Drosophila melanogaster: one gene and its partners. The protein of the gene in region 1 interacts with the protein of each later gene in a pairwise test. Each region holds a gene or a part of one and is shown in the gene's direction. Other genes may lie near its edges.

Evidence for each region.
Region 2: the proteins of CG18011 (region 1) and cyc interact in a two-hybrid assay, tested with the Drosophila melanogaster proteins (one large-scale study listed by BioGRID).
Region 3: the proteins of CG18011 (region 1) and Cdk2 interact in a two-hybrid assay, tested with the Drosophila melanogaster proteins (one large-scale study listed by BioGRID).
Region 4: the proteins of CG18011 (region 1) and Hr78 interact in a two-hybrid assay, tested with the Drosophila melanogaster proteins (one large-scale study listed by BioGRID).

What each region holds. Positions count from the first base shown.
Region 1 is NT_033778.4:10,140,097-10,148,354, forward strand, and holds CG18011 (uncharacterized protein), read left to right. Parts: upstream 1-2,241; 5' UTR 2,242-2,288; coding exon 2,289-3,042; intron 3,043-3,096; coding exon 3,097-3,252; intron 3,253-3,312; coding exon 3,313-3,574; intron 3,575-3,633; coding exon 3,634-3,786; intron 3,787-3,848; coding exon 3,849-3,992; intron 3,993-4,045; coding exon 4,046-4,181; intron 4,182-4,257; coding exon 4,258-4,713; intron 4,714-4,775; coding exon 4,776-4,962; intron 4,963-5,020; coding exon 5,021-5,253; intron 5,254-5,309; coding exon 5,310-5,786; 3' UTR 5,787-5,978; coding exon of another isoform or gene 5,979-6,065; 3' UTR 6,066-6,110; downstream 6,111-8,258. Other genes in the region: Or46a (odorant receptor 46a), read left to right, coding at 723-1,823, 1,885-1,938; KCNQ potassium channel, read right to left, coding at 5,979-6,065, 6,133-6,347, 6,612-6,727, 6,795-6,898, 6,963-7,316, 7,389-7,485, 7,550-7,592, 7,824-7,908 and 1 more.
Region 2 is NT_037436.4:19,813,267-19,820,132, reverse strand, and holds cyc (cycle), read left to right. Parts: upstream 1-4,194; 5' UTR 4,195-4,358; coding exon 4,359-4,378; intron 4,379-4,637; coding exon 4,638-4,712; intron 4,713-4,871; coding exon 4,872-5,326; intron 5,327-5,396; coding exon 5,397-5,826; intron 5,827-5,882; coding exon 5,883-6,144; 3' UTR 6,145-6,363; downstream 6,364-6,866. Other genes in the region: Deaf1 (deformed epidermal autoregulatory factor-1), read right to left, coding at 123-921, 1,467-1,598; fibp, read left to right, coding at 2,381-2,383, 2,438-2,516, 2,584-2,902, 2,966-3,073, 3,130-3,262, 3,313-3,413, 3,472-3,540, 3,602-3,787 and 1 more. UniProt on the Drosophila melanogaster protein: Putative transcription factor involved in the generation of biological rhythms. Activates cycling transcription of Period (PER) and Timeless (TIM) by binding to the E-box (5'-CACGTG-3') present in their promoters.
Region 3 is NT_033777.3:20,732,829-20,740,336, forward strand, and holds Cdk2 (Cyclin-dependent kinase 2), read left to right. Parts: upstream 1-2,794; 5' UTR 2,795-2,868; coding exon 2,869-2,996; intron 2,997-3,094; exon of another isoform or gene 3,095-3,184; intron 3,185-3,262; coding exon 3,263-3,458; intron 3,459-3,512; coding exon 3,513-3,623; intron 3,624-3,682; coding exon 3,683-3,844; intron 3,845-3,903; coding exon 3,904-4,101; intron 4,102-4,156; coding exon 4,157-4,306; 3' UTR 4,307-4,356; exon of another isoform or gene 4,357-4,431; 3' UTR 4,432-4,537; coding exon of another isoform or gene 4,538-5,506; 3' UTR 5,507-5,586; downstream 5,587-7,508. UniProt on the Drosophila melanogaster protein: Like Cdk1, could play a key role in the control of the eukaryotic cell cycle.
Region 4 is NT_037436.4:21,492,525-21,500,772, reverse strand, and holds Hr78 (Hormone-receptor-like in 78), read left to right. Parts: upstream 1-3,278; 5' UTR 3,279-3,482; intron 3,483-3,589; exon of another isoform or gene 3,590-3,630; intron 3,631-3,751; exon of another isoform or gene 3,752-3,865; 5' UTR 3,866-3,913; coding exon 3,914-3,953; exon of another isoform or gene 3,954-4,031; coding exon 4,032-4,352; exon of another isoform or gene 4,353-4,380; intron 4,381-4,904; coding exon 4,905-5,174; intron 5,175-5,292; coding exon 5,293-6,467; 3' UTR 6,468-6,754; downstream 6,755-8,248. Other genes in the region: Glg1 (golgi complex-localized glycoprotein 1), read left to right, coding at 1-215, 2,281-2,558; CG7519 (uncharacterized protein), read right to left, coding at 6,991-7,353, 7,418-7,525, 7,577-7,588; CG7202 (uncharacterized protein), read left to right, coding at 8,067-8,196.

The sequences.
Region 1 (8,258 bases):
GTGGCACTGTGGAACAGCAACTTAAGGAAAATATCCGCTATCACATGACCATCGTTGAACTGTCGAAAACCGTGGAGCGTCTACTTTGCAAGCCGATTTCGGTGCAGATCTTCTGCTCGGTTTTGGTGCTGACTGCCAATTTCTATGCCATTGCTGTGGTGAGCTGTGAATTCGCAACAAGAAGACTATCATAAATGCTTTCTAGAAAAACAATGGTCTTAATTTGTTTTCCCTATATACATAATTGTAGTTATCTGACGAGAGGCTGGAGCTCTTTAAGTATGTGACCTATCAGGCGTGCATGTTGATTCAGATTTTTATATTGTGCTACTATGCCGGGTGGGTATTCCATATCCGAAATGCCTCCCCAGGCCAGTAATGAATTTCATCGTCAGTGAGGTAACCCAGCGCAGCCTGGACCTTCCGCACGAGCTGTACAAGACCTCCTGGGTGGACTGGGACTACAGGAGCCGAAGGATTGCGCTCCTCTTTATGCAACGCCTTCACTCGACCTTGAGGATTAGGACACTTAATCCAAGTCTTGGTTTTGACTTAATGCTCTTCAGCTCGGTGAGTTCTTTCCGTGTTTTGACTTTTTTGTGCACTGTAGCCAATTTCCATAATGAGGCTCATTAGCGAATTTAAGTTCGTGGCCTATAAAAGGCTTTCCTCGTGCGGTTCATGATGGAAAAGTGAAAATTGTCAGCATGTCTCAGCATCAGATGGTTACGGAGGACTTTTATAAGTACCAGGTGTGGTACTTCCAAATCCTTGGTGTTTGGCAGCTCCCCACTTGGGCCGCAGACCACCAGCGTCGTTTTCAGTCCATGAGGTTTGGCTTCATCCTGGTCATCCTGTTCATCATGCTGCTGCTTTTCTCCTTCGAAATGTTGAACAACATTTCCCAAGTTAGGGAGATCCTAAAGGTATTCTTCATGTTCGCCACGGAAATATCCTGCATGGCCAAATTATTGCATTTGAAGTTGAAGAGCCGCAAACTCGCTGGCTTGGTTGATGCGATGTTGTCCCCAGAGTTCGGCGTTAAAAGTGAACAGGAAATGCAGATGCTGGAATTGGATAGAGTGGCGGTTGTCCGCATGAGGAACTCCTACGGCATCATGTCCCTGGGCGCGGCTTCCCTGATCCTTATAGTTCCCTGTTTCGACAACTTTGGCGAGCTACCACTGGCCATGTTGGAGGTATGCAGCATCGAGGGATGGATCTGCTATTGGTCGCAGTACCTTTTCCACTCGATTTGCCTGCTGCCCACTTGTGTGCTGAATATAACCTACGACTCGGTGGCCTACTCGTTGCTCTGTTTCTTGAAGGTTCAGCTACAAATGCTGGTCCTGCGATTAGAAAAGTTGGGTCCTGTGATCGAACCCCAGGATAATGAGAAAATCGCAATGGAACTGCGTGAGTGTGCCGCCTACTACAACAGGATTGTTCGTTTCAAGGACCTGGTGGAGCTGTTCATAAAGGGGCCAGGATCTGTGCAGCTCATGTGTTCTGTTCTGGTGCTGGTGTCCAACCTGTACGACATGTCCACCATGTCCATTGCAAACGGCGATGCCATCTTTATGCTCAAGACCTGTATCTATCAGCTGGTGATGCTCTGGCAGATCTTCATCATTTGCTACGCCTCCAACGAGGTAACTGTCCAGAGCTCTAGGTTGTGTCACAGCATCTACAGCTCCCAATGGACGGGATGGAACAGGGCAAACCGCCGGATTGTCCTTCTCATGATGCAGCGCTTTAATTCCCCGATGCTCCTGAGCACCTTTAACCCCACCTTTGCTTTCAGCTTGGAGGCCTTTGGTTCTGTAGGGCAGCAGAAATTCCTTTATATATCATTTATTACTGGTTATGCTCTTCTCCTTTCAGATCGTCAACTGCTCCTACAGCTACTTCGCACTGCTGAAGCGCGTCAACAGTTAAATTTCGAAACACCGCAGCACCTAAAGATTTTCAAGCCGATTTTTAAAAGCACTCAAAACGTTATGCACGTACATTAAATGAAATTATTGTGTAGAAATTAGCAGTTGCTTATTATATAGTTCGAAAAACTAATTGTGTCTTCTTTCCTTGGGGTTTCCTAAATCTTTTATTTACTTTTTATGCCTATTTATTTTCACACTATTTTCAAATCGTGGTAACGGTTTTAGAAATCTGCGCAAGACAGTCACACTGCGGAAAATACCAGACAGCTGCTGGTACGGAAAGGTAACACTAAAAAACAAACCAGAAATGCCATAACGCCTACAATTTGCTGACGGACAAAGATTAAGATGTCGGAAAACGCGAAAAACAATAGCTGCCTGCATTGCAGCGTATTCAGTACGAAATACCAGTACCAGGAGATCTTCGATGAGTTTGGAATCGAACTGGGACTGCAGTCCCTGCTGTCCAGGCATTACCAGCTCGAAGTGTCGCCCGATCCGCAGAAGCAGCAACTCCTGTGCGAAGTGTGTGTCACCAATCTCATTCGCCTCTTTGACATCGATGAACTGGAAAGAGAACGGGAAGCTGCGAAGGATGCGGCCCAGGGCAAAGATTCCAAGGCAGAGGAGGACCCCATTATTATTACCGAGGTCCAGGCAACTCCACCAGCTGCGAAACCAGCCAAGAAAACAGTGCCTTCAAGGCCCCTGACTAAGGTTCTGCGACCAGTGCCCATTATTCCCACCCGGGAACCGAGTGCCCGGATAAGGAATAGAGCGGCTGCTGCTTCCAATGTAACGCCTGATACATCTAGATCTCCAGAGCCACCAGAGACGCCTTCCACCGAAGATGCTGTTTCCAAAAGTGAGCCAAAACTGGTTTCTAAAGTAGCAGATCAGGAACATTTTAGTGTGCTTATACAAAATATTCTGGACGAAGAGGAAGCTGTTGTTGAGGATGAGACCGCAGTGAAAGAGGAGTCCAGTGAAGCTGTCCAGGTCACAGAGGAAACAGAAGCCCCTGGCCAAATAGTCATCCTAAACAGCGAGGCTGTGACAGACACCAATCCGGATGAGAATGTTTACATATACGAGCATGAGGGTTTGTTTTAATTTTACCTTTTCCGTCCATTAAGTAACACTTAAATTGTTCTAGATGTTATGGATCCAAATTTGGACAATGTTAAGGTAAAACCCATAAGTTGTTCGTCTAGATTGGTAGCTCAAGCTGAGGAAAGTCAAAGCGATGATGACATCGACGAGGGAGAGACTAGCAATGTTGTTCTGTTTAACTTTGTGGACATCAAAGAGAGTGGGTATAATATCAAAAACTAAAAGGCAATCACAATTCTACATATCTTTACATTTACAGAGGATGAAGTTGATAATATTCCGGAGTACTTGGCCACCGTGGTGAAGACGAGCTTTGAAAAGCTGACATTTCAGTGGTGCACTGTGTGCAAGCACTGCTCTCTGAAATGTCCCACATTCGAGAGCCTTTTTAGTCACTTGTCAAAGGCACACAAAAGCCGGAGAGATGTCTACGAGTGTCCCATCGAAGGATGCAACAAGGAGTTGAAAGGTCGCAAATTCCTAGCCATGCATCTTGTTTTGTTGCACGCGCCAGTGGCTGAGTAATTATATTTACTAAAGGAAATATTTGTGTAATATATATGATGCTTGTATTACCTAGAATTCCGATCTACGGCAGCTGTCCGGAATGTAAATTGACGTTCTCCAACATTCTGCAGTACAACAAGCATTCTTGCGCGCATGTAATAAAAAAGAAGCGAGGTTTTCGCTCTTATTGTGAAATGTGTTCGCTGGAGTTTCCTTCCTGGAAGCGGTATGTTTATTCTCTCTAAAGTTAACCAAACCAATACTAATAATACTTATATTTCTTTACAGTTTTAATTTCCACAGCCAGTTTCACTTAGAAAAGCACAGACCAAGAGCTTGCTTCGTCTGTGACTATGCCACCACGAACATAGATGAACTTTTTCAGCATTTAAATTATTCTCATGAGCCAGTGGGCACCTTATTCTGCGACCTGTTAGTATTACAAATGCTTGTTAAGACATTTATATTAATTATTTATCCCCTAGTTGCGACCGCACTTTCCGGGACCCCTCCGTTTTTATGGAGCACAATAAGTCGCATGCCAATGTTAGCAGCACGACCTACTCTTGCAGCGAATGTATGGCCAACTTTGAGTCGCGGGGCCGGCTAAATGGACACATGGTAGGGCATGAATCTAAACATCAAATCCTTCGAATACGCTTTGTGGTACAGGAAGTAATTGAAATCCTTCTTTCAGAGAGCCATGCACGGCAGTGTAATAAGCTGTGAACTTTGTTCCCGGGAATTTGCCACCGAAGCTACTTACAATATTCACATGAAGAAGCATCTGATCATCGAAAAAGATGTGCACGTGTGCAGCACCTGCGGTCTATTAAGTGATAGCCGCGAAACCCTCCTAGCCCATGTAAATTCCGTGAAGACAGCCTGTTTTGGCTCGAAGATAGACGTGGAACTCCTACGGGATGCTTATGTGTGCGAGTACTGTTCCTCGTACTTCAAGGAAAAGGACTGTCTTCAAGCCCATCGCGATTCCGGGGTACATAAAGATGGAGTGTTTTTGTGTCAGCCCTGCGGCAAAGAATTCCCACATATGAAACTTTATCGCCATCACCTGCGCAACTATCAACAACTTCGATCGGACTCAACACATCGCAGGCTAGAAATATGTGTTTACTACATGTGCGACCAGGAAGTGAGTTGTCCTGCGTTTGGTCACAGAACGTTTGATCATAACATTATTTCCTCTCCTTTCAGAACTGCACAGAGTCTTACGTGAACTGGAACTCCTTGTACACACACAAGCGGCGCACACACGAATCCGCGAGCAAGCAGGCCGAGAAGAGTTCAAAGTCTGCCCAGGAATGGGTTTGCCAGTTTTGCTTAAAGGAATGCCGGTCAAAGATGTCCTTGTCTGTTCATGTGGCAAGGAGTCATAACAATGGTAAGTATGGTGTGCTTTATAATATGTTCTTCTTTTAATAAATAATTTTATATTTAAGACAACGTCACTTGTCCGTTATGCAATTCTTCGTACAAAAGCCATGATGCTCTGGCCAAGCACCATGCCTATTGGCATGAACCAATAGAGTGTCCTGAGTGCTTTAAAATCGTCAAAAACCGACGAAATTATGACACTCATGTCAATGTGGTGCATTCGAATAAGAAGCGCTATTCCTGCAGTGTCTGTCAAAAGGGCTTTTATCACAAGAGTGAAATGGAAGCTCATCAAAAGGTCAGTGCAGTAGACGGATCCACAAACGGTTCATATTAATAGCATATTTCCTGCAGCTTCATGGGCAGTCTTACAGCTGCGAACAGTGCAGTTTCACCACCAGGAACAAAAAGTCCCTTTCTGTTCATGTTCTTGGTCAGCACTACAAGCGATTCGCGTTCGAGTGCAACGTGTGTAAAAAGAGGTTTGGACGCAGTCAAGGATTGAAGACGCACATGCAGCGAGCCCATGGTGATAAATACACGTGCCGCGACTATTTCGACGGCGGCTGTGGACGGACTTTTGTAAACAGTTCCCAGTTGAATGTGCATGTCCGAAAGATTCACGATGGCATCATTTTGCTCCAGGAGGATGTGGTTGAGGAGGACGAATACATCACCGATGATGCGCCATCCACATCTAAAAAGCGCCGCCTAAATGAAAATAATGAGTTTATAGAGGAAGCAGATGGGGATGACATAGTGATGGAAGATGATGACGAGGAGGCGGACGATTTTATTGACGAGATACCAGATGAGGACACACAGAATTAAGGCTGGTACATTTCGGTAATGTAAGATTTGCTGCTAAAACAGATTTATTTAGTTTGATTTTCATTTGTTTGCTACCAATTAATTGAACACAAATGATGTCCCAAAATGACATTAATATGCATTCCATAGTATATAATATATAATTCTAGTGATAATGTAATGGCTACTTTAGCTAATTTCAATTGCAATTAACTAGCCAGAGTCTGGCGGAAGCAAATTTGATTTATTAAGCGTTGTAGTTTGGTCATTTAATTGCTGAAGATTGTGTGCGGAGCTTACCTGAAATTGTTATTAACTTGTTTTAAAAAGATTCTTAACGAAATGAAACAAATCTTCCAAGACTTACTGGGCTAATTGGTGTTATAACAATGGCGGTGCGCGTGGCACACTGCAGCAGCGCCGTGTCCTCGGTGGACTCATCACAGTCGCCATCGGCATCCGCGTCCACATCGACTTCTACGCCAATATCACTGTCGATCTCCCAAGTGGGGAAATGATCCATTTCACCCTCACAGTTAAGATCCTCCTCCTCGAAGTCCTCGTACTCATCGATTAATATAACTAAATGGGAGATAGTTTGTGTTTAGAATAATCTAACTTTTAAATGCTTTCACAACACGTATCATATTTTTTAAAATAAGAATTCTCTAATCTGTCGATATACATTTAATTCATAGTTATAAAAAGGAAATTAAAAAAATATAGAAACAAAAAAAGCCAATATAATGATTTAACGTTTTATTTATGTTCCCATTCGCTAGGCAAGTAGTCTAAAACTTTTACGAAAATAATACTATAAATAGAATAGATCTAATTTTTAGTTACTTGAACTATCTGGCGGCGTTGGCTTTGCACTGCTGTCCAGGGAATCAGCTCCCTCATCGGGTATAGTGATCCGTTGCTCCTGCTTGCTATACGGCTCCGATGTTGATCTATGAAGGCTGCAGGTTTTCGGATGTTTATACTGGTTATATGTAAATGTAAATATTTGTTTATTTCAGAACACACCTTAACGTAACACGTTTTTTGGTTCTATTCTCTAATTCAGTCATAAAAACATCATTGTGCTGCTGCTTCTCAGACCCCAACTGATATGAGTTAAGCACGGAAGACTGTACAAAGTGGTTAAATTTGCATCACATACTTCCAATGGAATTAATTAGACTGCGGTAATACCTTTGTATTGGTCGCTGTATGCTGCACATGCGGCGGCATGGGGGTTTGTGTGGCGATCGCATCGGTTGTGGTGGTAGGCGTTTGCGTGGCTGTCAGGGATCGCAGCTCGGAGCTGTCCGGCGCCGAGGGATTCAGCAAGGGTGTGGTGGTCACCTGCTCCGGATGGACACTGAGCGCCGCGGTCCGTTTCCACACGTCGATCATCGCCAGGTTGTGGGCGTGGTGCAGGGGCTTGTGGCTAGGACTAATGGAATGTATTTTGGGCTTGGCTGGCAGCGGAAGAGCCAGGAATCTATCACGATCCTCCATGTAAGCTTTAATCAGAATGTCTAGCTTCTCTTCGATATCAGCAACCTAATATAAGTCGGGGAAAATTAATTAACTATACCATTGTTTTAATGTTTTTCTTTTTAGATTGTAGCTCACCTGCCTCTCGACTTTAACCACGCGGGAGGCTAGGCTTATTTTGGATGCATATACATCCTTGGCCTTGGACCCTTGTTTGCCTAGGATTTGATCCAAGCTGCGCACAAGTTTTGTGTTAATTAATATAGGTTAAGAAATGGGAATTCGGGTATATTTCTTACCGCAAGTGTAGCATTTTAACGCGACCCAACAAGTCGACGTGACCTAAAATATACAAATCGTATTAAGAGAAGGTGGTACTAAAGGTTTATATATATTATAAGTATTTTAACTATCCCGTTTGTAATATATTGAAAAGTTTAAAAAAGAGTATCGTAATCGAAAAACCTGAGCTTAAGTTCTTTAAGACGCCCATAACGGCGTAAATGTAATTTTGTTACTGTTAAGTCGATTTTTTTTGTTCGTGTATCTAGATCTTAATTAATTACCGCTTACCGGCTGCGTACTGCTCCATGACGTCCTTGACGTCGTAGGGCTTCAAGGCCTCCTTGAATTTCCGCCGTGCCACAAAGTACTTGAGCTGTTGGATAGAAAGGTAGCCGAGTTTAAGATTAAACCCACAGTACAGGGTATCTCTGTAGTGCGAACCCTTCTCACCTTGCGTATGAACCTGATGGCGGTCTTGTGCCGGTTGGTTAGCTGCGTGCAGCGCGGCTCGTCCTCCTCATCTGCGGGCAATTTGTGAATCAGAGAGATTGGCTTGTGCGTTAGGTTTTGGTTGCTAGCTTCGCTTGTTGGTTATTGGTTTTTTGTTTTTTTTTTTTGGATATGGTTAATCAAGTCAACGTCAACGCAAATATACAACAACACATACAAAAGTACCGTTACACACACATATGGAACAATTAGTAAGTATACATGGATTATCAT
Region 2 (6,866 bases), on another chromosome or scaffold:
GTGTTATGAATTCGGTTTGTGCGCGAGTCCTGCACCTGGGACACCATGACGGACCGATGACCAGGTCAACTCGGTGCGCCATGCAGAAGGGGGGAGTGTGTAGTAATTGTTGTTCGTCTCACCTGACTCACCTGCTTCGTCGTCGCAGCAGACGGTGCAGCTGCAGTTGGTCGCGTGCGGCGTGAGCGTACCCTCATCGATGAGGGACTGCAGCGATTTGCCGCCGTACTTGATCGAACGCTTCCAATCCTTGCTGGAGCCCCGGCCACACACATGCTCAAACTCACTGGGCGTATGCCACTTGTCCTTGTACTTCACACAGCGTCCACGGCCGCCGGAGCCCAGCTTGCTGCGGTATAACTCGGCGCAGGTGGTTTTGCAGCGGATCTGGAAGACCTCATTGTGCTGGGTTGACGGGTTCTCCGACCATCCCGAGGAGCCACCACCCGTTCCGCCGCCGCCACCGCCGACGCCACTCGCTCCGCCCGCGGCGTGCTCCAAGGTGGCCAGGCTGTCGTGGCTATTGTTGCTCCCGGAGCCATCGTGATTCAGTCCAATCGTATTTGTGGCGGTCGTATTGGTGCCCGCATTATTGGCGCCGCCACCGCCGCCGCCTGGTTGCGTCTGCTGTTGCTGGATGACGATCGTCTTGAGGTCGTTGCCCATGCTGACCGTGCTGCCGGACAGGTAGCCATTGTTGTCGACGCACAGCATCGGCTTGAAGTGAGGGGGCAGCTGGTCGGGCGTGATCACATTGAAGGTAGTGCCGGTTATCATCGAACCGATGGGCAGGGATACGGGCACCGAAACCACACCGCCACCGCCGTTTCCTCCGCCCGCTCCGCTTGTACCGCCACTGGCGCCGCCGCTACCACTGTTGTCGTTGGAGGAGGATGTGACCATGCGAACCTTGGTGTCCAACTGCATTACCATAGCGCACATATTCCCACGTTCGTCACATGTATGTGGGTGAGTGTCCAGCGGCCAATTGATGGCGTTTGCGATTTAATTCAATGCGATTTGCACAGGAATCGGGAATGAAAATTCGAATGTAAGTAAACAACACAGCATGGGAAAAATGAAAATCGGTATACACAACATTTGTGCGCCACAAATGCGGTGGGTGGAGGGGGAAAACGAGGAGGAGGAGGCAAATTGGGAGTGGATGGAGGCGAGAAGGCGAGCGGGGAATGCCTGTGGCCCAGTGGGTCGCACGGAGCGTTCCGTAGGGCGCAAGTTGCGCCACCCCCAGGCCACCTAGCCCAACCACCCACCACCCACTTTCCACAACTGCGCAGAGCGAAGCGGAGCGGTTTTCGAGCCAGATTCGGTTTCGGATTCAATAGATAGAACCTGAACCAAACACACAGTCCGGAACCAAAACCACCCCGCCAAAGGAGAAGCGAATGGAAAATCCAAAACCAAATGGGCTCCTTACGCAGCCGTTTGTTGCTCCTTTTTCTTACCTGGTGGTGATGATGATGATGGTGATGGCTGGAGCTTTCTAATATCACCTCTTCTTTCACAACATCCTCGGCCAGCGCGGCCAGATCTTTCCTATTCAGGTGCAGCTCGGTGGAGGAGTCAACCTGTTCCATAGTATTGTTATGCCAGTTCACTTTCACTTATTCTGCGGTCCAACGATAGTAATGCACTTGAATTGTTCATCGGATTACCACTTGCAATTGGATTATTGCGATATATGTATATTATTCGACGTCTACCGAGACGACGGACGGTCTGTTGTTGTTGTTGTTGTTGCTGCCGCCGCGATCCGCGTTTTTTTCAGCGCTCACCACGACTTACATGCGAATTGCGCGCAGGTCGCGTTCAAGTTGCATTGCCCTATTTACAGCTGGTGGTTCATTGCAATTTACATTTTTTAAGCTTAAACTTTACTAATTTACTAAAAAAGTTGATATCCTCCTCTTCTTCCTCATGATAACTAGAGTTGTCATGCGCGTTGCAGCTATCGCCCGCTATCGGCACTATCGATAGTCGTGATTCGTGCTCGCTATCTGTGCCCCATCTCTGGTTTTTAAATATCGGAAAGTTTACAGCTATATATCTTGCATATTAAATTAAGATTTCTGAGAATTACAATTTTAAAGATTTCCTTATGACTTGATCTTAAAACTCAAAATCACACCGAATTTGGTTTTACCATTATTACTCTAAACATTTTCGCTTGTTTATTAATAGGATATATTGATGTTATGAAAACAAGAACGATTTATTACTTTCAAGGAAAAGTTTTAAATTCATGAGAAGAATAAACTATGCTGCTTGTGTTGGAACTACACAGTGTTTCATCTCTAACATACATTTCGATATATCCAATTGGACAGCTAGTTCAGAAAACGGTCACTCTAGCAATATAATGGTAACTATCTGATGATCCAAAATAATAATAAATAGTAAAACTGAATGCTTACAGGCCGATGTGGATGTGTTTATAAGTAATTATACAATCATCGATCCAGAAATTTACCAGCTATGGATCGAAGGCTTCTCCTGTAAGTTTTCTTCTCCCAATTGCAATCTTGTTTCATGTCAAACGGCTCCATCGATTTACAATTATAGCCAGCGAGGCGGTGTCCTATCTGAAACAGAAGGGTTTTGGTCACTCCATGGGCGCTCCCAGCGACCTGATTGCATCGGATGTACTGGATCATTACCGCACCTATTCCCTGATTGAACTATACCTAAACGCACCCACCAAACTGATGGAGCAATCCTGCTTCCAGCTGGAGCCACAAATGCGTGACCTTATCACCGAGAAGTACTATTCCATCGATGATGTGGTGGCTCGCGAAATTCTTGGCAAGAAGCTGTCGTCCCGCTACCGCAAGGACCTCGACGAGGTGGCCGAGAAGACGTGCGTCAAGCTAAAATCAGTTCGGTGGGTAAATTTGGCCGCTACTTAGGCAGAGTAGAGTCTAATATATTTCAACTTCTTCTTCAGCCGACAATTTGACAACGTAAAACGCATTTTTAAGGCAGTCGAGGAAATGCCGGGCACGTTAACCAACAACATCAAGCAACACTTCATCATATCCACCGATCTAGCCAAGTATGAATATAATCAATGTATTGAACTTCAAAAAGCTAAACCTTTCACTCTTACAGAAAGTACGCCTGCATTGTTTTCCTGGCCTGCCTGCGTTTCGAAACCACCAAAAAAAAGTTGCAATACCTGAGCTTCAGTGATTTGTTGACCTGCTCCCATGCCATCATGATCTACTGGACGTATACTTACCAGGTATGACTTAGCTCTGCTAATTCCTTACGAAACTAATTTACTAAATGCAGCACACTGGACCGGAGTACTATGATACCGAAATGGACAAAGAGTTTCTCTTGGACCTGCGGGAGTTGCGCTGTCTACTCGACAAGGAAAAGGAGATTAAGCAGTGAGATTTATTTTTCTACCGCACACGAGCTATTATATAGTTTAGTCCTTGCATTTAGCCTCGTCTGCATGCGCCTCAAACCCGTTCTTCTCGAGCGCGCCTTTCACGAACTGGATGGCAACTTTCGGTAAGGACTTATTTCTCGACATTATCACCTTTTCTTACTATTGATCTGTTTTGATTTGCAGTTCTTACTGGCGCGCCCTGATCACCATCGCCTGCAATTTGCATCGCAATCGGGAGCTGCGCGATCTTTTCGTCGATCTCTGTGAGAAGCTTATTGATCCTTGGCGTCAGAATGGCTGGAACCGTGAGCAAGTGAATAAATTTTTGGCTTCCATAACGCAAAGCGTTTTGGATCTGGAAATATCAAGGTGGGTACTTTTGTCTAGATTAATCAAGTAACTTTTTTGATAATCAACTCTAAATGTTTTGCAGGGACCAAGAAACCAGATGTCTTTGGGATCGCTATATGCAGGTCATAACGATATGCTTGGATAAAATGTATCACATTTAAGATGTGATTAAACTAAGGATCAAATATAAATAGTATTTAATTGTTTGTTTGTGTTTGTTTCGACTTGTGTTGATTTTTACTCAGATTGTCTAGCCAAAGTAAAATAATGAAAATTGATTCATATGAGTTTCATATTTAAATATTTAAATACCGTTGTTAATTGGCGCCAAATGGTATTTTTAAGCGAAAAGCTTGTTTCCCTTGGTATTCTTCCGAAAGTTGCTGGTATATTTTGCAGCCACGTTCACACTGCAGCTTCGAAGCTGAAGATGCAGGAAAAGCTTGCAACAAATTGTCGGCCTGCACAAACTTCCGTTTTAAATGTTATTATTGGGACGTTGATGCTAGTCGATGTTAGTAAACAAACAAAAGGGAGGTCTTCGTCGGAAAGGGCTTAATTTTTCATAAGCAAACGTCACCGATTGGCGATGGAAGTTCAGGAGTTCTGGTGAGTTTCACTGGAAAAGTGCATTGCAAATTACATACACATTGCATAAAAACGAGCTGTAAGTGTGTGCGTTAAGCACCCACACGAACGCACAATCGCGAAAACGAGCACACACACGCTCATACAAGTTGGCCAGGTGTGCGTGTGGGTGTGAAGGGAAGAGGAAGCAACAGTTGACGCCCGTTACACGGGAAATCCACACTGGTTGATTAAATATCGGGGTTGTTTTCTAATTCACCATTTGTTGTTTTCGATTTAGCGAAAATATGGAGGAGATCGAAGATGAAAACTACGACGAGGAGAAGTCAGCTAGAACCTCGGATGAAAATCGCAAGTACGGAAAACATTATTCAGGCTTAACTAATTCCATATCCATTTATTCGACTTCAAGACTAATAATGATTATTTCGGAAAAGTTAATTGGTCTTTTCAATCAGATTCCTGCATCCATATGCATTTATAATTTTAACGTTATATCATTTATTTTAATTAGGCAAAATCACAGCGAGATCGAGAAGCGGCGTCGGGACAAGATGAACACGTACATCAACGAGCTCTCCTCCATGATTCCCATGTGCTTTGCGATGCAGCGAAAGCTGGACAAACTGACTGTGCTCCGGATGGCAGTGCAGCATCTGCGAGGGATCCGTGGCAGCGGCAGCTTACATCCATTCAACGGATCCGATTACCGGCCTAGCTTCCTGTCCGACCAGGAGCTCAAGATGATTATCCTGCAAGCGTCGGAGGGATTCCTGTTCGTGGTGGGTTGTGACCGAGGACGCATCCTGTACGTTTCCGATTCGGTGTCCAGTGTGCTGAACAGCACCCAAGCGGACCTGCTGGGACAGAGCTGGTTCGACGTCCTGCATCCGAAGGACATAGGCAAGGTTAAGGAGCAGCTATCCTCACTGGAACAGTGTCCCAGGGAAAGGCTTATCGATGCGAAGAGTAAGTGGCCATGCGAAAGTGTGAGATTCAGTACGTCACTTAAGTTTTCTCCTTGCGTTATCACCTGCAGCCATGTTGCCCGTTAAGACCGACGTTCCACAGAGCTTGTGCCGCCTGTGTCCGGGTGCCCGGCGCTCCTTCTTCTGCCGCATGAAGCTGCGCACTGCCAGCAACAACCAGATCAAGGAGGAGTCCGATACGTCCTCCAGCTCCCGGAGCTCCACGAAGCGCAAGTCCAGACTGACTACGGGCCACAAGTACCGGGTTATCCAGTGCACGGGCTACCTCAAGTCCTGGACACCCATCAAGGACGAGGACCAGGACGCCGACAGCGACGAGCAAACAACGAATCTATCCTGCCTTGTGGCAATTGGTCGCATTCCGCCCAACGTTCGCAACTCCACAGTACCCGCCTCGCTGGACAATCACCCGAACATACGGCACGTGCTCTTCATCTCGCGCCACTCCGGCGAGGGCAAGTTCCTGTTCATAGACCAGCGGTAGGTACGATTATGGGCATTAATTTTCTGATGATTCGACTTAAATTATTTGGCAGTGCCACCCTCGTGATTGGTTTCCTGCCTCAGGAGATCCTCGGCACCAGCTTCTACGAGTACTTCCACAACGAAGACATCGCTGCGCTGATGGAGTCTCACAAGATGGTGATGCAGGTGCCGGAAAAGGTGACCACTCAGGTCTACCGCTTCCGGTGCAAGGACAACAGCTACATTCAGCTGCAGAGCGAGTGGCGGGCCTTCAAGAATCCCTGGACGAGCGAGATTGACTATATAATCGCCAAGAATTCCGTGTTCTTATAAGGCATACGAACGTTCCGATGGGGAACATTACTTTTATTTATTCCACTACAATCCGACATTTGTATACACTCCAAAGATCTTCATCCGCATCGAGTTGCTGGCGCCGGCGTTTGAAATTCCATATTCGATATACAAACTTTACCTAATGATAAGCCCATCATTTTTGTACCGCCTCAATTAAATTAACTAACAACTTGAAAAGAGATTCGCTTAGATAAGAACATTTGCTATCGTGGGAACAATCTAGTTTTACCCCATCAAGGTTTCAACATAGCTCTCTGGCGATTGGAATTGTCGAGAAGAGCGGTCGCCTTCGATTACAAACAACAAATAGTTCTTAGCCGAGCACGTTTTGGACGTGATCGCTGCTCGAATTTCTTCGGGCACATAACTACTTGTGGTAAATGGTGTGGATCATGTGTACATATGTACATATGTACGGACATGTGTGTGTTTGATTTATCAACTGAGACGGGCTTTTTCGCCCGTTTTTCGTTTCACTCAACTTTTTTGCTTGCACTATCAATAGACCCACATGAAAAGGCGGCAGCCCAGGCGCGTGGGTTTGTCTGGGTCTGGGTATAGGTCTGGCATGGGTATGGGTATGGGCATGCCTCTGGCTCTCTCGCTCGCTGGATTCGGGTTCGGAATCAGTTGGCATAGAGCTGGCGTGGCATACGGACGCTCTGACACCTTGGCTTCCCAACCAGTGAACGTTTTAT
Region 3 (7,508 bases), on another chromosome or scaffold:
AAGCAAAGTCTTTTGCCAAATTCGTGGTTATCCATTTGGCCGCGTTTAGTTGCTGTTGCTAAAAATTGAGAGCGCTTTCGGGTTATTTGCGCAAAGTTGCCGACTCCTGACCCAAACCCAAATGCATAAATCACGCGAAGCCCCAAAACACAGTGGGTAGTCCTCGCTATTGGGTTGTCCTCCGCACGGAATTCAATTCACATTGGCCCCAAACTTTTGCCATTAGGCAAGCGCGCACTCCTTCTGTTTTTTGGGGAAATGCAGTTTTTCGACACTTGGCTGGCGCCAAAAGCCTTAAGTACACATCAACTGCAAATAATTTATGTTCTCAAGCCACTTGCTTTCATCTCAACCGGTGCAGTAGAGCAACCTTATCGAGTGGCAGCCATGGAATATGGTAATTCTGGAGAAGCTGCAGTCATAAATTCATTGAAATGAAATGCGAAGTACTCGTAATCGAAGCACTCGGCTGCAAGGTTTACAGTGCCAATGAATCATGTCTAATTTTCGATATCGGAGCGACATGAGTACCGATCGAAGTGGCTGAAGGATTCGGTGAGGTCGTCATCAAGCATACGGCCCGTGGCCCGGAATGATTAATGTGCCATAAATGTGCGCGCCAAAAACATTCACAGCTAGAGCCTAAGCACGCGAAAAATAAACGCAGAGGCGAAAGCAAATTAAAATACGGATTTTTATGGCACTTTTTTTATTGCAACACGTAAAACACAAATTGAGACAAGATGGAGTGGAGTGTAAGCGAATTGCGTGCGCCTGCCACAAGCAATTACAATTACAATTTTAAATGCAACGCACATAAAATGCACGGAATGTCTTTTTAAACGATAAGGGTCCGCAATTACATGGCAAATCTCGCACTCCGGAATTAACTCAGTTGTAGCCCAACATTTTAACATACCACAATGCTAAACGGAATGCATGGCGATATGCTCTCATTCAAATTGGCTGCTATTTTGGTCACATTATCGTTAATGACTCTAGGAAGTAGGCATTGCATTTAAATCTCGCTGATCCCCGCCTTTATTCTCAAAGACCCTTCTCCTCTGGCCAGCAGTTCAAGAAAATGATCGAGTGCAAGACCAGTAAACCGAGAAGATAGTCGAGAGCAATTCAACTGGCTGGGCAGGATTAGGTACACCAGGTCAGCTGGTTGGGTGTGGTATCCCTGCTCCGGAGTGGCCGTAACCATGTCCTTGTGCCTGCTCACTGTGTTATATTCCTGGATAAGGGCGATGCCTACAGCTTTATGTTTGGAAACAGAAGTCGCCTTTTTTATTCACCCAGAGTATCGTTCCGTCTTACGATGTTGCCGTCCTTAAACTGAACTCCCAACTGAGATCCTGTTTGTCTGTATCGGAGGATACAGATTCCCATGACGTGATCGCCCGACTATTCAATGTGGTCAGTACGCTGGTGGATAAGCATCCGAAAAGCCTTCATACCCTGGCCAGAGTCACGAGTGCGTGCGTACACCAGGATAAAGATTTCCTAACTGGTGCAGCTCTATTTGGGATGAAAATTGTAGATGGATCTGAAGCTTGGCATCTTTTGTGAATATCAACGCACGGCCAGTACGAAAGAAACCACAAGATACCAATAATTGGATTGGGAACCATCTTAGTCTATAACTAAGTGTCCGGAAGAAATGTAAAAATGATTGAAAATAGTAGATAAATGGCATTTACTAATCATTAAATTCAGAACAAAGTTTCATTCAAAGTTAAAGAGTCCTCTTCACACATATTGTATGTACATACTTAACTAAATACCTGTTGGAAAAGTAGATTGCATTGCGACAATAAGAAACACCTTCACACTTTATCTGCAAGAGGTTATTGTTCTCAGTGTGCAAAATCATTGTGATTTCCTCGATCGGAAAATACTTTGTTGTGAGCGAGATGACAGTAAGCGAGGTTCTACTGGTTATACTGGTTATGCGTAAGTGATGTAACCCAATTACTTTATTATGCTTATCTACCAATTTTCTTTATTTATACTTATAAGCCACTGGTATAATCACTGAAGTTCAGCGCTGTGGAAGACCGTTGGAAAATCAGCTTTACAACGACAAAACATTCGCGGAACAGGATGAGCATCCTTGGCTGGGACGTATACTCTTCAGGGATGGAAATCAATTTACCACCTGCTATCGCTGCACCGTCGTACTGCTCAATCCGCGTCGTGGCCTAGCGCCAGCTCTCTGCGTGGATGGAAGGACCAAAGACCCTTATTCTAGTGTCTTTGGAAGGACCATCCGCGGAGCTCCTTTGCATCCAGACGCTATCCTGGCAGGAGTTCGCCTAGTAAATGGGGAACCGAGACAGTACTATATTATCCGGCAGCTCTTGGCCAAATTTGATTCGGTTTTTTCAGGAGCAGATCTTTTCATGTACATCGCACCCTACATTAATTGGATAGAGGCGAGAATCAACGTATTAAACGAACGTCACATTTCATTAAAAACATATATTTAATTAGTTAAAAGAGTAAATTTAGAAACCATTAAGAAACTGCATAAATACGATTTTTGCTTTAACTTTATTTATCAATTTTAAATGTCTTGATCCAACTGTGATAGGCATTAACGGGTCTCAACGGTTAATTTTATTTTTTATTTTAAAAGTTTTGTGCAAAGAAGAAAACAATACATTTAAAATAGGGGTAGTCAACCTTAGAGCTGTCACATCGCAGAACAATCGATTAAGGAATTCTTATCGATATGTGGCGCTGCTGTGCGACTTATCGGCGGTTGCATGAGAATGGCTAGCATCACCAAAGAAGAAGAATTTCCCTCCAAAATATTAGTTTATTTTGCCAACATCGATCTCAAGGATTGTTTACGAGGTTATGACCACCATTCTAGATAACTTTCAACGCGCCGAAAAGATTGGCGAGGGCACCTACGGTATAGTTTACAAAGCGCGTAGCAACTCCACCGGCCAGGATGTGGCCCTCAAAAAGATTCGGCTAGAAGGGTGCGTAATCCAGGTGGAGCAGGACTGTGATGCTGTTCATGGCAACCATAGGAAATATTATGTGACATATGGACATATTATCCTTGACGAATGTCATCCACCTGCACCCCGCAGCCCGAATTATGTGGGAGCTGCGCCGTTTCCGTAATCCGTAGCACCACATGATTCGGCTTCGTGGTACAGGATATCATCGGTTTTTGCTAGCAAACGGGTAATCACGATTGCCAGTATTTAGCTTTATTTAATAGCATAATTCCGATTCACAGCGAAACGGAGGGTGTTCCTTCGACGGCCATTCGAGAGATCTCCCTGCTGAAGAACCTTAAGCACCCAAATGTGGTCCAACTATTTGACGTAGTCATTTCCGGCAACAATCTGTACATGATATTCGAGTACCTGAACATGGATCTAAAGAAGCTGATGGATAAGAAAAAAGACGTGTTCACCCCTCAGTTGATAAAGGTAAGTACACTAGTTTGCAGCCCATTAAAATATTTTCACATTGCCACTTTGCAGAGCTATATGCATCAGATATTAGATGCCGTCGGCTTTTGCCACACGAATCGTATCCTGCATCGCGATCTCAAGCCCCAGAACCTTCTCGTAGACACGGCGGGCAAAATAAAGGTGAGACTAAAGGTTTTACCCGCTGTTGGTTCTGTGATAATAACGAATTCCAACTCCAGTTGGCTGACTTTGGCCTAGCAAGGGCCTTCAACGTGCCTATGCGGGCGTACACACACGAAGTCGTCACCCTCTGGTACCGAGCTCCAGAGATTCTGTTGGGCACGAAATTCTACTCCACGGGCGTGGACATCTGGAGTCTAGGCTGCATTTTCTCTGAAATGGTAGTGTTATATGGAATGTACATTCCAAGCGGATCTGATTACTAAACCTAGAATTACAGATTATGCGCCGCTCCTTGTTTCCTGGAGACAGCGAGATCGATCAACTTTATAGGATTTTCCGTACCTTAAGCACACCTGATGAAACAAATTGGCCTGGTGTGACGCAGCTGCCAGACTTTAAGACCAAGTTCCCTAGATGGGAGGGAACTAACATGCCACAACCCATAACCGAACACGAGGCGCACGAACTCATAATGGTGAGTGCAGAAAATGTACATCCCCAATGGAAATCCACTACTCTGTACCTTACAGTCAATGCTGTGCTATGATCCCAACCTGCGCATCTCAGCCAAGGACGCACTGCAGCACGCTTACTTCCGCAATGTGCAGCATGTTGACCATGTAGCCCTGCCTGTAGATCCCAATGCCGGCAGCGCTTCGCGTCTAACGCGGCTCGTCTGATCGTGTCCAATAGCCCCAGATCTAGCAAATTACTTGTGTTTTCTAGTATAGTAAGTTCGATGTCTATCTCACTATCTTTAAGGCGAAACTAGTAAAATTATTTGAATATCTAATCTATTTTACAGCTGCCACCTCATTATCATGCATTCCCCATCCTAACTCGCACGTAACATACGATAAATACACGATCATCCATAAGTAAAGAGTTTATAGTTTATAGCTTAGCATGGATTACCAGGAGCTCAGCCGGGCAAGGTGTCGTTGATGATGGCGTGGCGAAACTTTGGCGGCGGAATCGTTAGCCCCTGCTGCATCGCTAGCGAGTCTCTGGCGCTGGCGGGTGTGGCTATCGTCGCGCATATACGTGCCAAGAGTATTGCGCATGCTCTCGGAGAGCGGTGAATGGGCTTCGACATCACCATCGTCGTCATCGCTAGTCGGTGCATCGCTCGGTGCGCTGCTGTCTGTTTCCTCTGCTGCATCTTCATTCTCAATGGGATGCTCCGGTTTGCTGACTTCTAATAGCTTCGTCAATGATTGGCCCTTGGCCGACAATAGGGGCAGTGGTCGAAGTAGGGTCACCTTTCTGGTTCCGAGTCTTCTCATTACGGGCGCCTCTTCCTCATGCTCGCCTTCCACATCCTCTGCCTCCCTAGGCGGCGGAATAAAAAGCTGCCGTAAAAATTAGATTGGAAATCCTGAGGACTGAAGCGCTGTACTCCGTAGTAGCTACCGGAATTGGTGTCGTAGAAGAACATCGGCTCGGCGGACCGCGGCGGAGAAGGTGGCACAAAGTAGGGATCGTAAGGGCTGTAGGCATCATCGTTCTCCGCCGAGTCGTAGCTCGGTCGGCGCTTTTGTTGCTTGCGGCGCTTTCGCTTGCGTTTTTTGGTAGCCTGTGAGGCCACTTGAGCTGGTTCCTCAAGCTGCAGCTCCTGATCTTCATCGTAGGACTGCAGATAAACCGGCGACGTCTCGATGATGTTCGTACTGCCATCGTTAAAGAAGTTGGCCAACGGATTGGTCAGGTTACGGAAACTGAAAGCGGGCTGAACACTGCGGACGAAGCTATTCCAAACACGAACCAACGGGCGTTCAGTTGTTGTAGGAGCTGCTTTTCCCAGACTATGAATATAGCGCCTTCTGTATCCACCACGAGCACTCGGCAACAGGACATACTCGATGGGATAGTTTCTGGAGCTAGAATAAAAATTTCGTTCAAAGTTTAACTTTAAAATGTCATAGTTATACTTTTTTCAACTCAAATATAATTGTTTTATAAAAAAATGTATCCTATATAAGCATATAGTTGTTTGAATTGTTTATGTGATATCTATAATATGCAATAATAATCTACTATGAATTATTGGATTAAATAAGGTTCAGAAAATACCAAAAAGTGGTTATATAAATGTCATATCTGTCGAAAATCAAAACTTCATTGTTAGTCGTCAACGTTTGCTCACCCAATCTTTGCCTGCTTTTGCGGCAAGCGTCGCTCCATCTCGTTTGCGGATATCCTTACTCCTTGCGAAGGACAACTCCATGCTACAAAAAGCACTAGGGCAGTAAACAATTGCCACTGCATTGCTGTATACAATATGTTCGTCGGGCTTACTATATAGTATTTCGAATGCGTCCGTTACCGTTCCCGGTCGAAGGGAAACTGAAACTCATCCGAATCGCGAAATCAGTGGTCAACAGCTCGACGGTGATGCCTTTGTCTTTTTGACCAGCTCGTTGGATTAGTTTTTATTGGTTCACAGAACGGTTAGCCACAGTCTTAGCCAAATTGATTTGTAATGGCATTGTCCCGAGCCCCAGATCATTTCCAAAGCTATGGCCATGTTGGTGGCCCTAACTCATGCCGACACTAAGCCAACTAACCCAATTTGGAGACCATCTTCATATCTCCCGCGGGGCTCGTTGGCAGCTGCCAATCTCGCCCATGCATATGTAAATGGATTTTTATAGATTACACAATTAATACGCCATTCAGTTCTTGGCTGCGACTGAAAAACTCGTTTGCTGGCGGGTTCTGATTTCGAAATTTTATGCTAAGCTGTCTGGGATGAGTCGTCGGCTTGCGAAATGCTTTCTCCTGACGAATTTATGCTTATGGGGTCTTCTCCTTATCAAGATTTTACGATCTATATAAACATATGGGTGTATTAATGGATGCACCGTCTAGGCAGCTCCTATTTTTTATGGCATAACTATGCTGATTGTGGTGGCAGCCCTAAATAGACACATTAGATAGATTTGACAAATTTGTCAAATTTTATTACTGATGAAATTGGAGCATGGAGATATGATATGTTTTCGTCAAAGGGAAATCATGTGAAAGAAATATCACACTTTCTAAAGATGTTGCTTGAAATAAAAAATTGTGTTAAGCTCCTTAAAATAATAAATTAAAGTTTTACCTTTTGCACAGATTGCTCAATCAAGAGACACCAAAACAAAAAGTTTTTAGTAGTAATCCCTTAAATCAATTCTGAATTGGTTGCATAAAACAAACAACATTTACTAATACTAATTTAAATATAATAATATAATATTCTTTAGACTACGTAAATAGAACAAAATAAAATCTATGCACACAAGAAGTTGCTTAACTGGAAAAGTAATATAAAATGGCCATGATAAATTTCTCTTTGTCGTTTTTTTCTATGAAGCAAAGCGATATTATTGGCTTAATATAACTTATTTTTGCTCCGGCAATCACGAAATGTGAAAATCCTTATCAGCCCAAATCGCAAGCAATTTATTGAGTCCTTTTGAAGCCGCGAAATGCAACGACAAAAGCAAAACGAAAACAAAAAGCAAAAAGAAAAGAGCAAAGAAAATTCCTAACAAGTGTTTTTCTTTGCCAAACCGAAGAGAGCGAGGGAAAGCGTAGCTCAGAGAGAGAGGCTGGGAGAGACAGGAAAAGCTTTCGACTTGGCCACTTGCAAGGCAGCTCAGTTCAGTAATCGGTTCAGTCGACTTTGAGATTGCTGGCCAGAAACGACGGAGAACGACGCTTTCCAGGACGGCCGCGTCGTGTGCTCTAGAAAAGGAGAGTTGGAAAAACGCCAGCGGCAGCTAGCGCCAGAAACGCTGCTGTCACAGTTTCCACCTAAGTCGAAGGAAAACAAGTCAAAAGGCTCGTTCAAGTGGCAGTTGCTTTTTTTGGGCCAAGCCAGCGGTTCGTTTCGCT
Region 4 (8,248 bases), on another chromosome or scaffold:
GGCAAATGTGGATTCCGACGAGCACGGCCAGCTGGCGGAGTGCTTGAAGACGGCCTTCCTGCAGAAGCAGATCATCAACCGGCAGTGCCAGATGGAGGTGGCCACTCTGATCGCCGAAGCCAAGGCAGACATTCACGTTGATCCCATTCTTGAAACGGCGTGCACGGTCGATCTGCTGAGATACTGTTCCAAAGTGGCAGCTGGCAATGGACGCAGTGAGTTAAAATAATATACGACATATTAGTTAGTTCCCCATTGAACAGAAAGTTGATAGTTATTCTTAGCATCCAAGGGCGTCGCCAGGCCAAAGACACTAGAATAACAAGATGCGTAACGGCCATACATTGGTTTGGCACTATGCAGCCACTTTTTTGGTGACGGCCAAAATTACTCTCTTTCGGCTCACTCCCGCTGAGAGCGTAAGAAATCTAAAAATATAATTTGCTTGCTTGTGTGAGTAAAAACAAGAGACGAGAACGCGTATAAGTGTGCGTGTTGTGCTAGAAGACGATTTTCGGGCCGAAATCAATTCTGATCGAAGAAACGAATTTACATTGTACATATTAGGGTAGTTTTTGCCAATTTCCTAGCAATATGATAAAATAAAAAAAATTTAAAAAATTCGCGCCCTGACTATTATAATTTTAAAGCTTTTTAAATTTGTTTGTTAAAATCGCCGCTCGAATTAGCTACCGTTTACACATTTATATTTATGTTTAATTCTAATTTGTCTCTCATCTGAAAATTTTTTAAAAGCGAAATATTTTTTTTGAAACACTTTTAATGTTAATGTTACATCATATTAAGTCAAATGATTTAATAAATATACTAAATAATTAAATATGCAATTAAATTAAATTGCAAAAGTAATATCAAAGACAATAGAATTATTCTAGTGTCTTTGCTTTGTTCATATCTTGAGGCACGAAGTGCGGACACAAGCACTCAACAATCATTGCCTTATTAATTTTTCACACGCCGCAAGATGAATACTCTAATGACAAATATTCTTATATAAAGTCATTTTTGAAATATATTTTTGTGATAATATGTACATAGATTTGACTATTTCTAATCTATTTTCAAATAATAATAACGTTAAGGCAATGCAAAACAAGAATTTTTCGCATGGTGCCAATTGATCAAAAATAATATAGATTTAAAGCCAAAGAACTTCTAAGGTGAAGGGCATATTTTGTCAAATTTACAATGCATGTGAATTCGTGTGCACACATACAGATGTCTGCTATCACTTTGTGCGTTGAAAAGAGCTGTTCGCTGTAGCGCTCTTCGCTCTCTCGCTCTCTAACAAAAATTCGAGAGAGCCTGGAGCCACCTCTAGAGCCACGGCCAAAAAATCGTGTGCCAAAAAATCGTATGGCGTTACGCATCTTGTTATTCTAGGGTCTTTGACTCAACAATCATTGCCTTATTAATTTTTCACACGCCGCAAGATGAATACTCTAATGACAAATATTCTTATATAAAGTCATTTTTGAAATTTATTTTTGTGATAATATGTACATAGATTTGACTATTTCTAATCTATTTTCAAATAATAATAACGTTAAGGCAATGCAAAACAAGAATTTTTCGCATGGTGCCAATTGATCAAAAATAATATAGATTTAAAGCCAAAGAACTTCTAAGGTGAAGGGCATATTTTGTCAAATTTACAATGCATGAGCATACGTGTGCACACATAAAGTTGTCTGCTATCACTGTATGCGTAGAAAAGAGCGGTTCGCTGTAGCGCTCTTCGCTCTCTCGCTCTCTAACAAAAATTCGAGAGAGCCTGGAGCCACCTCTAGAGCCACGGCCAAAAAATCGTGTGCCAAAAAATCGTATGGCGTTACGCATCTTGTTATTCTAGGGTCTTTGGCCAGGCCATCAGCCAGGGGGGGCAGATAGTAGAATTCCTCTTCCTACACTGGAAACTCTTAGTGAAAGCACCTATCAAACAGCTTATGTATTTGAAGCAGATCGATATAATTGGAGGCAGATTGACTAAGAGAATAAGAACAGTACATAGTGTAAATAAACAACGGGAAGTTACGTGATAGGCAGCAAATTATGAAATTTCTTGAACATTCCTTTTTGGTGCAGGGGGGTGTGTGTGTGTGTGTGTGTGTGTGTGTGTGTGTGTGTGTGTGTGTGTGTGTGTGTGTGTGTGTGTGTGTGTGTGTGTGTGTGTGTGTGTGTGTGTGTGTGTGTGTGTGTGTGTGTGTGGTTGGTGTGGTTATAAATATAATAATTAATGTTTTTCTCTCTATGTTCTAGAACTTAATTGCTTAAGGACGCTGCTGAAGGATACGCCGAACTCGTTAGAGGCGGACTGCCGAGAAAAGCTGCAGCGACGCATAGAGATGTTCAGGAACGCAGACGACACGTTGGCGCTTCCGCCCGAGGATGTGCAGCAGCTAGTGCAACAAGTCGTCGCCTCTCCGGCGCGGAAATTCTTCCTTGTGATACTAATGAGCGCCACGGGCCTGGTCTTCCTCACCGGCATCTTCCTGGGACGGGCCACCAAACGGGCAATGGGCTTAAAGAATAAATAATTGAAATATTAGACTGTAGTGGCACTGTGTAGGCGGAGTGTGCATGTTTGTGAGCTTGCTGATTTCCATTTCGGCCCATCCATGACCCCATTCCGAAACCCAGAAGTATACTTTCACTCAACCCTGTCTGCCTTTCGATATTTGTGTGAGCAATTTGTGGCTTAGTCGTTTGTAAGACCAAAAAATACGCGAGAAAGGAGAACACAATCAAATATACTAGTTCCATTCTTAGGGCTCTTTTCGTTATAGCTTTTTTGTAACAATTTCACTTGTATATTAAATTGTATTTTTGTAAACAAAAGCCCCTTCTTTTTAACTATATCCACATGGAAGGCATCAACAGATGTTTCTCTTTGGATCAATACCAGAGCGCTAATACGGCAGAGCGCCTAGTTTTGAGTACAAAAGTTAAGTAAAAACTTGGGATAGGCTTATCAATTTAATCAAATAGCCAAGGTAACTCAAAGTATAAAATTTAATATTATGTCCTTGTGGGCTTATGAGAATTAAAATTTGTGTTAATTGATTAAGCTTGACTCTAATTTGTACCCTAGACACGCCTTTGTTATTATTGATATTAGTAATTCTATTATTATCCTTTGTTTTACGTTAAAAATTACAATTTCAACGAACTGTAGCTCTACAGGTGTTTTGGTATATTTGCACAATGAGCTGCCTTTTTTTAGTATATGGGACCGGATGGTATGTTGAAAGAGCCCAACTGCGGTCACACTGCTCGCAAGTGAATTGGAACAAGGAGATTTTATTGCGTTAGAAAAGGTTCAAAATAGGCACAAAGTGCCTGAAAATATCGTAACTGACCGGAAGTAACATAACTTTAACCAAGTGCCTCGAAAAATAGATGTTTTTAAAAGCTCAAGAATGGTGATAACAGACGTCCAATAAGAATTTTCAAAGAGCCAAGTAAGCAAGACCAATTCATTCACATCACAGGCACCCACACAGATGCAGCCAAAACAGGTTCTATTAAAATAGCTCTGGCTACGTTAGCTACAGCTGCGTCCAAAATAGTAGCACTTTTGTTGGCAGCAGCAACGGTGTTTTATATTGCGTAAAATTCAATGATTTATTTTTTGAAAACATCAATATAATATATTATAATACATTTATTATTATTATTATTATTATCTACTATATAAATATATTTTGTGATAGAATTAACCACCTCATACCTCTCTTTTCGGCTCGTAATTCCTTTATTCTAGACACACTCCATATTTATCTCTTCTCTACTTTATATTGCAAGTAAAATTTAAATTACATATGTGAAGATGTTTGGGTTTCAGTTATTTATACAGCCGACGACTATTTTTTAGCCGCCTGCTGTGGCGACAATGGACGGCGTTAAGGTTGAGACGTTCATCAAAAGCGAAGGTGAGTCCAATCACCCGAGCCATGCCACCTTGGAGCCCATTCTAACGCGACTGTTGCCATTGCCCTCTGACCTTGCAGAAAACCGAGCGATGCCCTTGATCGGAGGAGGCAGTGCCTCAGGCGGCACTCCTCTGCCAGGAGGCGGCGTGGGAATGGGAGCCGGAGCATCCGCAACGTTGAGCGTGGAGCTGTGTTTGGTGTGCGGGGACCGCGCCTCCGGGCGGCACTACGGAGCCATAAGCTGCGAAGGCTGCAAGGGATTCTTCAAGCGCTCGATCCGGAAGCAGCTGGGCTACCAGTGTCGCGGGGCTATGAACTGCGAGGTCACCAAGCACCACAGGAATCGGTGCCAGTTCTGTCGACTACAGAAGTGCCTGGCCAGCGGCATGCGAAGTGATTGTAATTTTCGTTTAAGTCGTCGTCTCAAGCTATAACCAATCTCTGGCCTGGCCAGAGTCTACGTGCTCCAGCAGGCTTTAGCAGAATTGCATTGTAGAAATTAGGAGATATCATATATGTAGCATTTAACTCTGACAAGTAATGAAACGTTATCGATTCACAGGAACTCAGTTTCCCAGAGCTTAATCAAGAACTGGTTGGATGATCTCCAATTCGAATTGGACTCAAAGATAAATAGTCTAATCTAGAGAAAGTTCAATTTCAATTGAATTCAATTCAATTTTCGTCTGTGAAGTGCATTTTACACCAAGTAATCACGTGAATCTAATTGCATCCCAGTGTTTGCTTCTGTAACGTGAATATCCACTTCAGTAACTTGCACATCTTAAAACTGCAGCGGCGGAGGCACAAAAGATTCCCAGCCTGCACGAACATTAACCAATTCACCCACTTACTCACCATCACCTCGCTTTGAAAATCATCAAACCGCATCCTCACCTCACTTCTCGCTCTAATTAATTGCCTTCCGTTCTCATCAACTTTTGTTCACAGCTGTGCAGCACGAGAGGAAACCGATTGTGGACAGGAAGGAGGGGATCATCGCTGCTGCCGGTAGCTCATCCACTTCTGGCGGCGGTAATGGCTCGTCCACCTACCTATCCGGCAAGTCCGGCTATCAGCAGGGGCGTGGCAAGGGGCACAGTGTAAAGGCCGAATCCGCGGCCACGCCTCCAGTGCACAGCGCGCCAGCAACGGCCTTCAATTTGAATGAGAATATATTCCCGATGGGTTTGAATTTCGCAGAACTAACGCAGACATTGAGTAAGTTGAACTTTGATTTACATTCTGGTTGGTCATATATACTTAACTGCCATGATTGATCCATATTTAACTTCTTTTAAACGAATTCACCATTAATAATCTCCTATTGACTTTGCAGTGTTCGCTACCCAACAGCAGCAGCAACAACAGCAACAGCATCAACAGAGTGGTAGCTATTCGCCAGATATTCCGAAGGCAGATCCCGAGGATGACGAGGACGACTCAATGGACAACAGCAGCACGCTGTGCTTGCAGTTGCTCGCCAACAGCGCCAGCAACAACAACTCGCAGCACCTGAACTTTAATGCTGGGGAAGTACCCACCGCTCTGCCTACCACCTCGACAATGGGGCTTATTCAGAGTTCGCTGGACATGCGGGTCATCCACAAGGGACTGCAGATCCTGCAGCCCATCCAAAACCAACTGGAGCGAAATGGTAATCTGAGTGTGAAGCCCGAGTGCGATTCAGAGGCGGAGGACAGTGGCACCGAGGATGCCGTAGACGCGGAGCTGGAGCACATGGAACTAGACTTTGAGTGCGGTGGGAACCGAAGCGGTGGAAGCGATTTTGCTATCAATGAGGCGGTCTTTGAACAGGATCTTCTCACCGATGTGCAGTGTGCCTTTCATGTGCAACCGCCGACTTTGGTCCACTCGTATTTAAATATTCATTATGTGTGTGAGACGGGCTCGCGAATCATTTTTCTCACCATCCATACCCTTCGAAAGGTTCCAGTTTTCGAACAATTGGAAGCCCATACACAGGTGAAACTCCTGAGAGGAGTGTGGCCAGCATTAATGGCTATAGCTTTGGCGCAGTGTCAGGGTCAGCTTTCGGTGCCCACCATTATCGGGCAGTTTATTCAAAGCACTCGCCAGCTAGCGGATATCGATAAGATCGAACCGTTGAAGATCTCGAAGATGGCAAATCTCACCAGGACCCTGCACGACTTTGTCCAGGAGCTCCAGTCACTGGATGTTACTGATATGGAGTTTGGCTTGCTGCGTCTGATCTTGCTCTTCAATCCAACGCTCTTGCAGCAGCGCAAGGAGCGGTCGTTGCGAGGCTACGTCCGCAGAGTCCAACTCTACGCTCTGTCAAGTTTGAGAAGGCAGGGTGGCATCGGCGGCGGCGAGGAGCGCTTTAATGTTCTGGTGGCTCGCCTTCTTCCGCTCAGCAGCCTGGACGCAGAGGCCATGGAGGAGCTGTTCTTCGCCAACTTGGTGGGGCAGATGCAGATGGATGCTCTTATTCCGTTCATACTGATGACCAGCAACACCAGTGGACTGTAGGCGGAATTGAGAAGAACAGGGCGCAAGCAGATTCGCTAGACTGCCCAAAAGCAAGACTGAAGATGGACCAAGTGCGGGCAATACATGTAGCAACTAGGCAAATCCCATTAATTATATATTTAATATATACAATATATAGTTTAGGATACAATATTCTAACATAAAACCATGGGTTTATTGTTGTTCACAGATAAAATGGAATCGATTTCCCAATAAAAGCGAATATGTTTTTAAACAGAATGTTTGCATCAGAACTTTGAGATGTATACATTAGATTATTACAACACAACTTTGATCAAATGTTAATCTAATTTTTATTAAAGATGTGGATCTCATCCCACAGATTGGCAGAAAGCAGAATACAAAGTCAAGAAATGGCAACGTGTAGGGAACAATTTAAAGGCGGTCGTTATATTTTTATTTTTTGTATAAAAATAATTTGATTGTTTACTAAAGTAGATAGACGAACTGCAGCTAAATATGCATCCAGTCTTTACAACTTAATCTAAGCTAGAGCGAGGGATTACTGTTCCTCTTCGGGTACCTTTCTGGCGGGCTTGTGCTTCTCGTAAGCCTCATCGTTGAGTCCCTCCCGATTCCGGGCAATCTCGATGGCCAGAAACTGGACGCGAAACACGAAGATAGAGTTGTCCGGGGAGAATTCCCTGCTGGCATCGGCGCGCATCAGGGTGCCATACGAGTAATCGTCCAACTTGTTAAACTTCTCGGCGAACTGGCGCCACTTGAGCTTCGCCGTGGCGGATTTGAGAATATCATCGGTAAGCCGGCCAACGTGAAGATCGGGAAAATCCTGCCGGAAAGTGGCGTATATCTGGTCGTCGTAGGGCGTGAGCTTCAGCTGGGAGGGATGGACGCTGGTGATGAGCTGCCGGGAATACGATGAAGCAGTGTCAACTACCATTCCTTAACATCGTTCAAAGTGTACTCACATTAAAGTGCACCTCGGCGTGTTCCAGAGCTTTTGCGGCCCACATTTCCTCCACCAGGGTGTCGTTGCCAAATTCCTCCGCTGGCCGCGACAGCAGCGACGCTCCATGCTAACAAGTCCATTAATCAGAATCGGTTAATTTCTTTTAGCCACTACATACCATCATCTCCATTTTATTTGGACAAGGTTGCTTATTTACTTTAAAAATTATTGAAACGAAAAATCACGTTTCGTACTTTGTTTAGCGCAGTGTGACCAGCCGCAAGTCGGGATGAATAACGTACAATGTCGTACAAATACCGAAGACAATATTGAATTCAAAATTAAATAAATAAATTTAAGTAATTGATATGCATTGTTGTACCAAACAGTCGAAAATTAATTTGGAATAAAATTGTTTCAAATCAAATATCTTAAAACATCAAAAAAAAAAAGAAATTTCTTTAAAATAAATAAGTTGAAATTCTAATAGCTTTTTTAAGATTTCAAGAAATTAAAAAGAAACCGAAAGAAACAGAGTCCTTTTACAATCTTATTCGCTTTGATTTTAGTGTCCGATATTTCTTTATTTTCCACACGAGGCCCGACTTGTTCGAAAGCTGTTTTTATAACTACACACGTTATCAGCACACAACAAAATTTCGGGAATCATGTTCGAATGCATAAGTTTCTTGTTCCTGGCTGCCTTGGCCTTCGTGGCCTGGGCCGTTCTCTGCTTCCAGCACTTCGTCCAGGTCCAGACGCGGCTCTCCTCTGATTTCCGAGTCGAATTATACACAGGTGAGGATGTCCATTGTTGTTTTGAGTTAAGTGAAGAAATGGTGGTTGAATC